Linked DNA regions of Saccharomyces cerevisiae S288C. The protein of the gene in region 2 interacts with the protein of the main gene of each other region in a pairwise test. Each region holds a gene or a part of one and is shown on either strand. Other genes may lie near its edges.

What was found. Proteins that work in one complex are often made in the same cells at the same time.
Region 1: the proteins of PEX34 (region 2) and PEX25 interact in a two-hybrid assay, tested with the Saccharomyces cerevisiae proteins (one study listed by BioGRID).

Annotation. Positions count from the first base shown.
Region 1 is NC_001148.4:334,203-342,663, reverse strand, and holds PEX25 (Pex25p), read left to right. Parts: upstream 1-4,043; coding exon 4,044-5,228; downstream 5,229-8,461. Other genes in the region: GDE1 (glycerophosphocholine phosphodiesterase), read left to right, coding at 1-1,596; CAR1 (arginase), read right to left, coding at 1,719-2,720; YPL113C (glyoxylate reductase), read left to right, coding at 5,521-6,711; GTPase-activating protein BEM3, read left to right, coding at 7,178-8,461. UniProt on the Saccharomyces cerevisiae protein: Required for regulation of peroxisome size and maintenance. Has a role in the import of peroxisomal matrix proteins. Imports RHO1 into the peroxisome. Also promotes peroxisome division and biogenesis.
Region 2 is NC_001135.5:24,640-29,358, reverse strand, and holds PEX34 (Pex34p), read left to right. Parts: upstream 1-1,999; coding exon 2,000-2,434; downstream 2,435-4,719. Other genes in the region: KAR4 (Kar4p), read right to left, coding at 423-1,430; PRD1 (metalloendopeptidase), read right to left, coding at 2,453-4,591. UniProt on the Saccharomyces cerevisiae protein: In concert with the three peroxisome divisional factors, PEX11, PEX25 and PEX27, controls peroxisome morphology and abundance under conditions of peroxisome proliferation. Maintains mature peroxisomes in actively dividing cells.

The sequences.
Region 1 (8,461 bases), on a different chromosome or scaffold from region 2:
CTTATACTAATAACATTGGGAAGTAATGACACAAGAAACAAAAGCCCTTCAATTTCATTAAGCTCGGAAGCACTAGCAAAAGTTATTGGGTTGGAAACAGATTGTGCATTATCGTTAGTAATTTCATGCAATGATTCAATTGATAAATCTTCTGTAATCTTAGATTTACCATTAGATGATAATGTGGACGCAGTAGACTTCAAAGTGCCTTTCAAAGTTGATTATTCTCATACATTATATTTTGATATTGTGCCAACATATGGAACACGCTCGTTGGAGACCCATAATAGAATAGATTGTCAAAAAAATAACAATAATTACGTAATGGCAAGGGGTGTTTCCATGTTGAATAAGTCGTACAGCTCAGTGGGAGTTAATAGAAGTATATTAAATGGTAGCGTGACGGTCCCCATCATCGCTAATCATACACTGGAGATACTTGGGACGCTGAAATTTGAATATATTATTATCACACCATTTGAACATCCACAACTGCCCTTAGAAAGAACAGAAACGTACTGGAAATCCTTAGTGTCCACTCGTGTTATAGGACATAGAGGCCTGGGTAAAAATAATCCTAATAAATCATTACAAATTGGAGAGAACACAGTCGAGTCTTTCATCATGGCAGCCTCATTGGGAGCATCGTATGTAGAGTTTGATGTTCAGTTGACGAAGGATAACGTACCAGTGGTATATCACGATTTTCTCGTAGCTGAAACAGGTGTCGATATCCCCATGCATGAATTGACGCTGGAACAGTTTTTAGATTTGAACAATGCCGATAAAGAGCACATTCAACGTGGAGCAGGTCACTCACCTCATCATGTAAATGGAGCAGATACAGCACTACAAAAATATAGAGGGCGTTCGGTAGATGATTCAGACGTTAGTACATTGAGGAGAGCTTGGGATTTACACGACAACGACCCGAATGGGAAGTCCAACAATGCTCATTGGTCTGACAATCGAATGAGGCTAACCAAAACATTTAAAAAGAACAATTTTAAGGGAAACGCTAGAGGACATTCAATAGCTTCATCATTTGTTACCTTGAAAGAACTATTCAAGAAAATCCCTGCCAACGTTGGGTTTAACATAGAATGTAAGTTTCCCATGCTTGATGAGGCAGAAGAGGAAGAGTTAGGGCAAATAATGATGGAAATGAACCATTGGGTTGACACCGTGTTAAAAGTAGTTTTTGACAATGCGAATGGTAGGGACATCATTTTTTCGTCATTTCATCCGGATATTTGCATCATGCTTTCGTTAAAGCAACCGGTTATTCCGATCTTGTTCCTGACGGAAGGTGGAAGTGAACAGATGGCCGATTTGAGAGCCTCATCGTTACAAAACGGTATAAGATTTGCTAAGAAGTGGAATTTATTGGGGATTGTATCTGCTGCAGCACCCATTTTAAAGGCCCCACGGTTGGTGCAAGTGGTTAAGTCTAATGGGCTGGTATGTGTCACTTACGGTGTGGACAACAATGATCCCGAAAATGCCAGTATACAAATTGAAGCAGGTGTAGATGCCGTGATCGTCGATAGTGTATTGGCAATTAGACGTGGGTTAACCAAAAAGAATGAAAAGTAACGAAGATACACTACTTTTATTTTTAATTTATTTTCTTTTTTTGTTCGTAAATTTATGTATGCATGTGCTTAACTAAAATAAAAAGAGAATGCTTATTTTGATAAAAGGGATGATGATATAAACTACAATAAGGTTTCACCCAATGCACACCTTGCAATGGCGCAACCTGCAGAGATGGTGTTTGAAACATGGATATCATGAATAGCCAGATCAGGGTTACATTCAACAACGTCTAGCGCAATTAAATTACCGGATTCGGCCAATCTTTCCACCAAGAAAAGACCTTCTCTCAAGGTCAACCCACCTCTCACTGGAGTACCTGTAGCAGGAATGTATAATGGGTCTACACCATCGACGTCATAGGAGCACATAATGGGACCTTCACCGTTTGTTTCTGGGTGCACGGCTTTCATTGCCATTTCAATGACAGCGTTGATGCCGTATTTGTCAACGTGGTACATGGAAAAGGCGGCGATACCCAGATCTTTCAAGATTTTCTTTTCTCCGGCATCAACATCTCTCAACCCAATATACGCGATCTTTTTTGGGCTCAAGTTGCCTGGAACCCATTTGAGCGACTCGGGACAATGTGGGACATCCTTGTTCAAACCCATTAGGAATGACACGGGACAGCCGTGCAAGTTTCCAGAGGGGGTGCTTTCTATGGTGTTTATATCAGCGTGGGCGTCTATCCATAAAAGACCAGCATCGGGGTATTTGTCCAAAACCGCGGATACAGTACCAATGGCTATTGAATGATCACCACCCAAGGTCAAGGGGAATCTGTTCGCCTGGACCACTTTCGACACGGAGTTGTACACCAACTTGGTGGCTTCACCAACCAAATCTGCTCTTTTAGCCTTGACACCGTCTATCATAACAGAGGAACCCCCAGTTGTGGAGTCCTTCTCCATTTTCAACTTTCCCACAAATTGGGCCTCGTCCATTGAGGGCTCTAATTCCGTAGACCAGCCCAAATCCTCTATGCTTGTTTGCAGACCATGCTTAAGCATGTATTTAGGGCCCTTCTCGACACCAAGCTTACCCTGACCGCCGCTGAATGGAGCCAGAACGATGGACAATTCGCGATTTTTGTAGTAGTTGTAATGAGGTCCTGTTTCCATCTTGATAGTAGTTATTGTTATTGATATAGTTGTTGTTGTTGTTTCTGCTAACTTTGAGAAAACATATACAGACCAAGAGAAGAGAAACAGTCTTAGATCTTGATAGAAAGTGGGCCGCAAGCTCTGCTTATATACTCTTTAGACCCCTCGGCGGCTACCGCTAAGTGAAAAATTCAGCGAGCGGCGATGCGCTGTTGATTGCCATTAGCAGCACGGTGCTTTGCGAAGGGCAAGAGCTAGAGACTATTCGCACTAGCCGATATTTTCGCGGCGTCTCGGCTTCTTGTAAGGGATAGAAAAAAACTGTTAATGGAAGGAGCAATCAAAGGGCGGGGATCGCGGGCGACGGTGCGGCATCGAAAAAGTGAAGAACCAGTAAAAATAGAGGTGGGGTTTATCAGTGTTGATATCTAAGTTTATGATAAACATTGATGAGTCAGGGATTGCACCCGTAGTTCATCCGTATGATGTGATGTTGTTTGTTTTTGTTTCATGTAAGGTTGCTAGAATAGGGTCCTGTCAGACAGTATGCGTAGCTTTACCATCATTTCGCCGCTATATGTGAAGGGCCGTAAATTGGATATACGGTATGTAAAAATCAGCGGAATATTATGATGAGAAGTGAGAAAATTGAAGTCAGTAATCTTGGATATTCAGAACTGTCAATCCTCAGTTTGGCCAATTTTATTTAATTTGTTAATAGCAGAACTTACCGGGCGGTCCAGTTTTGCCTACACGGTTTGGTATAAAGTTTAAAAAGCATATATACGAGCTAGATGAAGTATCCAATAGAGTTTTTCTCACGATGGTATTGGAATAGCTTCCTTGAAAGGTAACTACATACAGTGTCGAGGAAAAATAGACAATTACTTAAAGGAGTAAATGTTACTATACCTGAAAGAAATTAAGAGTCGCCATGCGTAGCAGTAATCACAACCGACATCGGGGAAGAGTGAGGGGAGCAAATTGGATGTAAATATTTTGGTGAATTTGCTCGGTACGCGCTAAACTCACATGATTTAGCAGCGCCGTGGCGCAGTGGAAGCGCGCAGGGCTCATAACCCTGATGTCCTCGGATCGAAACCGAGCGGCGCTAAATTTATTTTTTTCTTTTTACTCTTCATTTTTTTTCCAGGTCGGTGATAGTATATGAAATTCCGGTGGGATTGGGCTTATTATTTCAGGTTATATAATTTTTGAAATACGTTTTTCTTCTTTCTTCTCAGAATCATCGGTAATTTGTATGCTGGAGAAAGTAACAAATAGAGTCGATATCCTCAACTTCCCTGTAAGTCTTCACCTATAGAAACTGGTCGTAAAACAATGAGTCAGTTTGGCACGACAGATATCGTTTCCGGTTCAGAAACACCACCTTATTCTGGGGCAAGTTACCAGGACGCCCAGGATGACAATACCCATCCACATTCATCAGACGCCGGTGCAGAGAAGTTCAGTGCAGGCAGTGGAAGCGAGTCGCATACTGAATCCTCGAGAAGTGATGATGAGGATTCTCAAGCAAAAACAAAGATGGTGGATAATATTACCATCTTAAAATATATATTGGATTCTCTATCTGGTAGAGACAAATTAGCCAAAATTATCAAATACGCTCTGGATATATTAAAACTGTTTATCGAAAAGTCTAAGCGAAATTTAACTGTTTTGGACCCTTCCGTATTAACGTACTATACCAAGATTTTGAAAAATCTGACTGTAAAAGTCGCACTAAGGCATCCAATCACGGTAATTAAAGTACTTCTCCTGTCTCTTTTGAGAAATTTTGACAAGAAAATTGATTTTATCAGTCAACAATTAAGTACTTTTAGATATATTTTAAGGTTTGGCGGCACACCATTCCGAGTGTGCAGTTTCTTGGGGAAATTCAATAAAACCAGAAAGTGCAACTTTCAAATTGACCAAATTAAGAAAATATGGTTTAATGAAGCTTCATTGAGAGAATTTTTGGACTTGTATTATGGTATCTTTGATGAATTAGACTTGCTATACAAATTGAAAATATGGACAAATAAATCATTCTATTCCTTTGTCAGTAGACAAGAGTCTCTTGCATGGCAATACGACATTCTTTTAAGCTTGAAGGACCATTGGCTCAACCTGCAAAGCTTACAGAAGAGACAATTAGAATTGGAAGTGCAACTAAAAGTTCAAAATAACGCGTTACTACTCTCACCCATACTGATGCATCAGGCCCATAAAGACGATGGCTCACAATCGCCAATTAGGAAACAGTTGTTAAATGACCTAAATGTTAATAACGACGCAGAGGTGTTAATACACAAACAACTAAAGGCCATCAAGGATGAAAAGACACTTGTTTATTTAGATATTGCAAGATTATCGTTTGATTGCATGGCTAATACATCAGATATTCTAAATTTAAAAACTCCAAAGGGAACGTATGCCGTTCTGTCCCTGGGATCCGGCTTAACTGGACTGGTTAAACTTTGGATAACAACAAAGAGGTCACTTTGCTCTTCAAAAGATTGATATATAAAAATATGTATACATATAGATATGTACATATATATGTGGCGAATAATGTTTTACCTCTGCATTTGTATTGTTATTTGATTCGTTGAATAAGATAGTTTGGCGCTCGGTTTTTGCTCTTTTTCTTCCGTTTTTATGTCATTGGGGTGGCGGTAGTCATTCCGTTTTACGGTATGTTTATTCTGACACTTTGACGCAGATCTAAAAGGTGGAGTGTGGAGTACAAATAGCTCTCTCTCAAATACAGAAAAATACTTGAGTGTACAAAAGTAGCAACCTTTAAATAACAATGATTACTTCAATTGACATAGCAGATGTAACTTATTCTGCCAAACCAAGAATTTTGGTGCCTTATAAAACCCAATGGGAAGTCGCCAGTCATCTTCCTGAATATCGCAAACTGGCAGAAAGGGTAGAATTCTATAAATATGAGATGTCCACAAAGGATGATTTTGTTAAATTTTTGGAAACTCATAGAATAAACGGCTTTTGGCTCACTGAGGAGTTTTTCACTGTGTTAGGAAACCCTTCGAGTTATATTGAATTCTTCCCCGCATCTTTAAAAGTAATCCTTGTACCATGGGTCGGCTGTGACTTTATTGACGGTAAGTTATTAAGATCGAAAGGTATCACTTTATGCAACATTGGACCACATGCTGCTGACCATGTCACAGAATTGGCTATTTTCCTAGCAATTAGCTGCTTTAGAATGACTTCATTTTGGGAATATTGTTTTAAATACGTGGAAAATGGTAATGTTGAACAGTGTAAGAAATATATCTCTAGTGACTCGTATGAAATTGTTACAGATAGTTACCACGGTCAGGAAATGAAATTTCCCTCTCGAACAGACAAATGCAAGCCTAACAAGGATAGGAAAGTGGTACATTTAGCAGAAAAGTACACGGTTGGCGGGAAAAAAATGGAATCTCCAATGAATAAAAAAGTTCTAATATTGGGGTTTGGCTCCATCGGACAAAATATAGGGTCTAACTTGCACAAAGTGTTCAACATGAGCATTGAATACTACAAAAGGACCGGTCCCGTCCAAAAGAGTCTACTTGATTACAACGCTAAGTACCATTCTGATCTAGATGATCCAAATACTTGGAAGAATGCGGATTTGATCATTTTGGCCTTGCCCAGTACGGCCTCTACAAACAATATTATCAATCGTAAAAGTTTGGCCTGGTGTAAAGATGGTGTCAGGATAGTTAACGTTGGGAGAGGCACATGCATAGATGAAGATGTGCTACTAGACGCTCTTGAATCTGGAAAAGTGGCAAGCTGTGGTCTCGATGTGTTTAAAAATGAGGAAACACGCGTTAAGCAAGAGTTACTTCGCAGATGGGATGTTACAGCTTTGCCACATATCGGCAGCACAGTTGCCGACATGGTCATAAAGCAGACACTCATCACACTCGAGAATGTGCAGGACATATTTGTCGAGGGAGGTGATGGTAAGTATGTGCTCAACTGAACCATTCATTATGTTACAAAGATAGCATTTCAATTAGGATTACATACGTATATGCATTGCTCTTTATACCACAACTCTAAGAATGTCGAAAGTTATATGGCGGCGGTGATGTTGGAAAAAAAACGCGGCCGTTTTATAAAGAACAATAATCGTCTGACTAGGTAAAGTACCAGATAAGAACCGTTTTTATTGCGCGTATTGGTATGTTTTTTAAACGGAATTTTTCAAGATTGTTAAATACATCAACGATATATCCATTTTAATCACCGTTTACCTTTGTGTGTTAGCTTTGTATCTGGAAGTTTTTTCTCTTTTCTTCTTTGTCCTTGCCTTCTACCATTTTGCCTTTTGTTCGAGTTCGTGATTACATCAGGCATATACAACATCACGTTTGTTGAAACACTGGCTGCTAGGAGTATCTGTGTGTATATTCTAGAATAAACTCACACTCAACTAACAGCACGCAATGACAGATAATTTGACCACAACTCATGGTGGTAGTACCACCCTTGAATTGTTGGCGCAGTACAATGATCATAGATCCAAAAAGGACAAATCTATAGAACATATAGAAAAAGGAACATGTTCAGGAAAAGAAAGAAATCCGTCCTATGATGAAATTTTTACGGAAAACATTAAGCTAAAGCTACAAGTCCAAGAATATGAAACTGAAATTGAGAGTTTGGAAAAGGTTATTGATATGTTACAAAAAAACAGAGAAGCTTCCTTAGAAGTTGTGCTTGAGCAAGTTCAAAATGACTCAAGAGATTCATACGTTAACGATCAATCATTTGTGTTACCCCCAAGATCTGCTGAAAGGAAAGCGCATATCAAGAGTCTTAATTTGCCAATACCGACATTGTCCCCTCCATTGCAACAAGGTTCAGACGTTGCACTTGAAACAAGTGTAACGCCTACAGTACCTCAAATAGGTGTTACATCAAATACTTCAATAAGTAGGAAGCATTTACAGAACATGATACTAAACGATGAAATAGAAGCAAATAGTAGCTTCTCATCTCCCAAAATTATCAATAGATCTGTCTCAAGCCCTACAAAAATACATTCAGAACAGTTGGCTAGCCCAGCTGCCTCTGTTACCTATACGACGTCTAGGATAACCATAAAATCACCTAATAAAGGTTCGAAATCTCCATTGCAAGAACGTTTGCGTTCCCCTCAAAATCCTAACAGAATGACGGCTGTTATCAACAACCATTTGCATTCTCCATTAAAGGCCAGTACCTCTAATAATTTAGATGAGCTGACTGAAAGTAAAAGTCAACAACTAACTAATGACGCGATACAAAAAAATGACCGCGTTTATTCTTCTATAACATCCTCTGCATACACTACTGGAACTCCTACTTCAGCAGCCAAAAGTCCATCATCCCTTTTGGAAGTCAAGGAGGGTGAAAACAAGGCTTTGGGTTTCTCTCCAGCATCTAAAGAAAAACTTGACGACTTCACCCAATTACTTGACTCCTCATTTGGCGAAGAGGATCTAGTCAATACGGACAGTAAAGATCCTCTGTCCATAAAATCCACGATTAACGAATCTTTACCCCCACCTCCAGCGCCTCCAACTTTTTTCTCACCTACTTCTAGTGGAAATATAAAAAACTCTACTCCTTTATCAAGCCATTTGGCTTCTCCGGTTATCTTGAATAAAAAGGATGATAATTTTGGTGCTCAAAGTGCAAAAAATTTAAAGAAACCTGTGTTAACTTCATCACTCCCCAATCTTTCT
Region 2 (4,719 bases):
CTCGACTTCAAATCAAAACAAACAAACAAACAAGCAAACAAACAAATAAACAAACAAATTCTCTGTTCCTATTTTCTTCCTCTTTGTTCTGCACTTCCAGCTTTTTATGCGAGAACATCGTGTAAACTTCCTATTTAAGTAATTACATGGCTGAAAAAGTGAACACGCTAGAACACGAAAAGACAAAAAAGAAAAATGGAAAAAACAGAGGAAAATCAAGTAGAATAATGTTTATTTACCTTTCACTCAACTGTATCTTTTTGTTTATTTACTTTTCGAGTTTGCATAATTGTACTGAATCAATCCTTGCGCAATTTGGTTTTGAGAAGAGTTTCCAGTAAAATAAAATGCAAAATTATTGTTTATATACTTATTTACTAGTATATTTAATTGAGCTAAGCAAGGATTTATGTGTTGATGCTTTATTGTGCTTTTTGTACTGGACTTCTTGGTCTTAACAGCTCAATCTCATTTTTTAATGGGATATTCGAACCTAAATTAGCTATCTCTTCTTTATATCTCTTGGGTGAGAAGTTATCCAACATAACATCTGGGCTCACTATAACCCAGCCAGGTCTTACTTTGACGGGTGTCTCGTAACCAGTCCTTGCAGGAATAATATGTAATCGTCTAGTCGCGGTAGAGAAGTTTTCTGCAATACGATACAAATGGGATGGTACAGCACCATTAGTGGTGTCCTTCGTTTCGATACTCAAGTCAGTGTCTACGTTACAATGAATAAGATGTCCATCTGTAGACCTCCTTACTGTACCTGTGATACACATCCAACAGTGCCATTGCATTTTTTCCATCAACGTTTCATCGTCCTGATCTAAACCTGGATAAAACGGTGATTTCTTGTCAATAGGAACAAAAACCAATTCTTCACTTCTTCTAAACTTTTTAGCCCATATTTCATTATTCAAAAGTTTAGTAAGTTCATTGATTTTTTGAGAATTGGCCCAGATGAACAGGAAACCTGGTTTGGAGATCAATCTATCCAATGGCAATTGGGTTAAAATTGGGTAAATAAACTGATTTTCTGTTAAGCAGCCAATCATCACCACGTCGAAAGTCAAATTTTCGTTCTGTATCCAGTGATTCAACGTTGGAACAATGGAATCTATTCCGATTTTACACCCAAATGGCGTAGTGGCAAATTGATTTATTTGTTTAGCTTTCGCCTGAAATAATTTCTGAAGTTTTGGATAGCCATCAACCCTATTCTCAATATTAGTAACATGCTGTTGCGGTAGCGACTTCCCATGAATGTAGTTATTCGAGTAATCGTTTGTATGGAAGTCTCTAGAGGGTTTGAATGATACGTGTTTAGATTTCATTTCTATTGTTTCCTGGTTTGGCCCTTGCAAGTGACTGTTGTTGATGTGTCTGCTTTTATTCTGGTCGTAAGTTGGATCTTGGAATGCCATCTTAATAGTATTCTCACTTCTCTTTTGTTTTATAATGGCTGTTCTACTTTCTTCTATGTCATAATATTTAACAAAAAGTCGCACTTGAAAAGTTGAAACAAGTTATGTCGCAAGATGAAACTCGGAAATGACGAAGTGTGAAACAAGACTACAGAGCGACAAAAACCAAGCTGCAAATATACAGTAATGAAACTGAAAATATGTCCAGCAAAACTAAAATTGTTTGAGCTCGATACTAACTTCCTTCTTTTTTTTTTTTTTTTTTTTTTTACTTTTGGCTATCCTATTGTAAACGCTGTTTTACCCTTTTGCAAAGCATTTGATCACAAGATATATCCCAAAAACTATTTTTTGACTTAAGGCATTAAGAGGAGATAAGGCTCCTAATGTCACATCCAAAAGCCAAAGTATGGGACAAGCATTTCGCCCCTTTGCTCTTATTGCTTCTTGTTAAGTAGAAAGGGTAATTATAATCGAAAAATTCGCGGGAAATGATTTCAATGTTCGACTCTGAGGTAAGAAGTAAAGAGGAGATGAATAAAAGTAAAGGAAGAAGAAAAGAAAGTTGAATGGTTTCGAAGAAAAATACGGCTGAAATCAGTGCAAAAGATATATGGGAGAATATATGGAGTGGTGTAAGTTCGCTGCTTGATTTCTTCGCAGTATTGGAAAACCTAGGCGTGGTCAACGATAAGTTATATGTAAGTGGGCTATTACGGAAAGTTTGGCTGTGTTACTCGTGCATTTCAGTGATAAAATGTGTATGGAAATTAATAAAATTATGCAAGGTGAAATTTAAAATCGATCAACGATTGGATGGGGAGGGAAATGGTCTAGTAAAGGATAAGTTGATAAACTTCAAGAAAAAATATAACGAACATATCAGACATATTACTGCTGCTTTACTCCAAGATTTGAGCTATTTAATGGTTTTAATCTATCCAGGGACGAGGTTATTTAAAAGATTATCTAACATAATAACACTTTGTAGAATAATTGTATAATTTTATGCTTGAACGAATTTAGTTCTGTAAGCCCAGCTCCTTCAAGAAAGCATCCTTAGAAGGTTCCCTACCCAAAAATTCTTTCAGATTATCATTAATATCATAAAGGCCACCACGAGCCAACACAATATCACGGTATTGTATCCCATTCTTGGCATTTAACGGATCCTTAGCGAATTTGGTGTGATACATATCAGTTGCAAAGACTTCCGCCCATAGATAACCGTAATAACCGGCAGAGTAAGAGTCTGACATTATATGGCCAAATGAATCATAACCCTTGGATAACGTACCACCATTAGAAATCAAAGAAATATCCTGTCTCAATTGGTTCCAGGTATCGCAAATTGACAGGTTTTGCAAGTCTTTACAAGTATGTACTTTCATATCAAATAACCCAAAATGTAATTGTCTTAGAGTGAATAAAGCACCATTTACGTGTTTAGTTTTGATCAATGAATTGATCAAAGATTCTGGAATTTTTTCGCCCGTTTTGTAATGTGATGAGAGGTTGATTAATTCATTCTTATTCCAAGTCCAAAATTCTAACATTTGGGAAGGTGCCTCCACAAAATCCCATGGAACAGATCCGGGGCCATTAAACCTCGATTCCTTGTTTTGTCCCACCAGGTCATGGATACCATGGCCCAATTCATGGAAAAAGGTCACTATTTCGTTATGCTTCAGTAGAGAAGGTTTATCCTTCGTAGATTTGGAGAAATTGCAAACCAACGCAGTAACCGGATACGATCTTGTGGTGTCATCAATCATGAATGATGACGATAAACCAAAATTGGCAGCGTGGCCATATTTACCATCACGAGGATGTAAATCGAAATAAATCCAACCAACAAAGTTTGGAGACTTTGGATCATCCATATTCCAAACGGCGATTTGTTTGACGTCGTCATGCCAAACAGATTTGTTTTGAGAATCTTTCGTCTCGATAAACTTCAAATTAAACAATGTTTCGTATATTTCCAGCATACCAGTAATCGTAGCCTCTAGTGGAAAATATTCAGAAATCTTTTCTAGGTCCACATTGAAGTTTTCTAACAAATATTTGTTATCGTAGTAACGGTGGTCCCAAATGTAGTAGTTTGGATCTGCACCCTGGTTAAGTTTCTTAACATCTTCGGCTTTCATATCTTGCAAGACCTGTAGTTCCTTTCTGCCCAGCGGAATTAGCTTGTCCTTCAAATCATTCAAAAAGTTCATTACCGTAGTGCTATCTTCAGCCATTTTATCATACAGGTTGTAGTTCGCATACGTGTCATAGCCCAATAACGAGGCCAATTCGTCACGCAGCTTCAATGTATCCAACAGTATAGCTTCATTTTCAGGGACCTTATTTTGGTCGGCCAAAAAGGCCTGCTTTCTAGTCTGAGCTGAGGATGCCAATTTCATCACGGGAAAAATGTCCGGATATTTGAAGGTGACTTTATACAAGGTTTCATTGCTATCTTTGTCAGATTTTATTGTCTCGAACTGCGTCAAAATAGAATCCGGCACACCTTCCAATTGTTCTTTGGTGAAAGTGATGTATTCCTTTTGTTCTCCCAGATTCTTCGAAAAATTAATAGAGTTAACGGAGATCTTCTTTTTGATCTCTTTGATTTTCAATCGGTTTCCCTCGTCAAGTTCCAAACCAGAATGAATGTAGTCCTTGTAAGACTTCTCAACGTATTTGAAAGTTTCTCTTTCCACAGAATCTGCCTTCGATTGAACATCCTGCCAGACGCGGGCGAATTGCAAAAAGATGTCGTGACGCAGAGATAGATCGATGTTCAACTCATCCAGTTTCATTGAGGAGTTCACAGATGCGTCCCTAATTTCTTTATCAGACGACACATGCTGTAAGAAAGTTAATTGGTTAATTATTGGGCCCAATTCATTTTCAAACTTCATGAAAGGCTCCACAAAATTACTCACGGAAGGGCTCTCTACCTTACTCATAGAATCATAGAAATTGTTGCTGTTGTTGATGATTTCGTTGGTTTTCCCACTAATATCGCTGGGAGTGAACGACCAATTAGGCGGGGCCTGGGGAGCAATAGGGAAACTAGTAGTGTTAGCCATTGAATATAAGGAGCGGGTATACAGTAGTGGTGAGATTACAGGTGACGCAAACCAATTCTTGCACAGCAACAATCGCATCTCCAAGTATTCCCTCTATTTTTAAACTCAAATCCAACCATTCCTTCCTATTTACCTAGTTCTTATTTTCGTATAAAAAAGGTGGCAAAAAATCCAGATTTAACCGCCGTCACGCTCGTGCAGCGCGA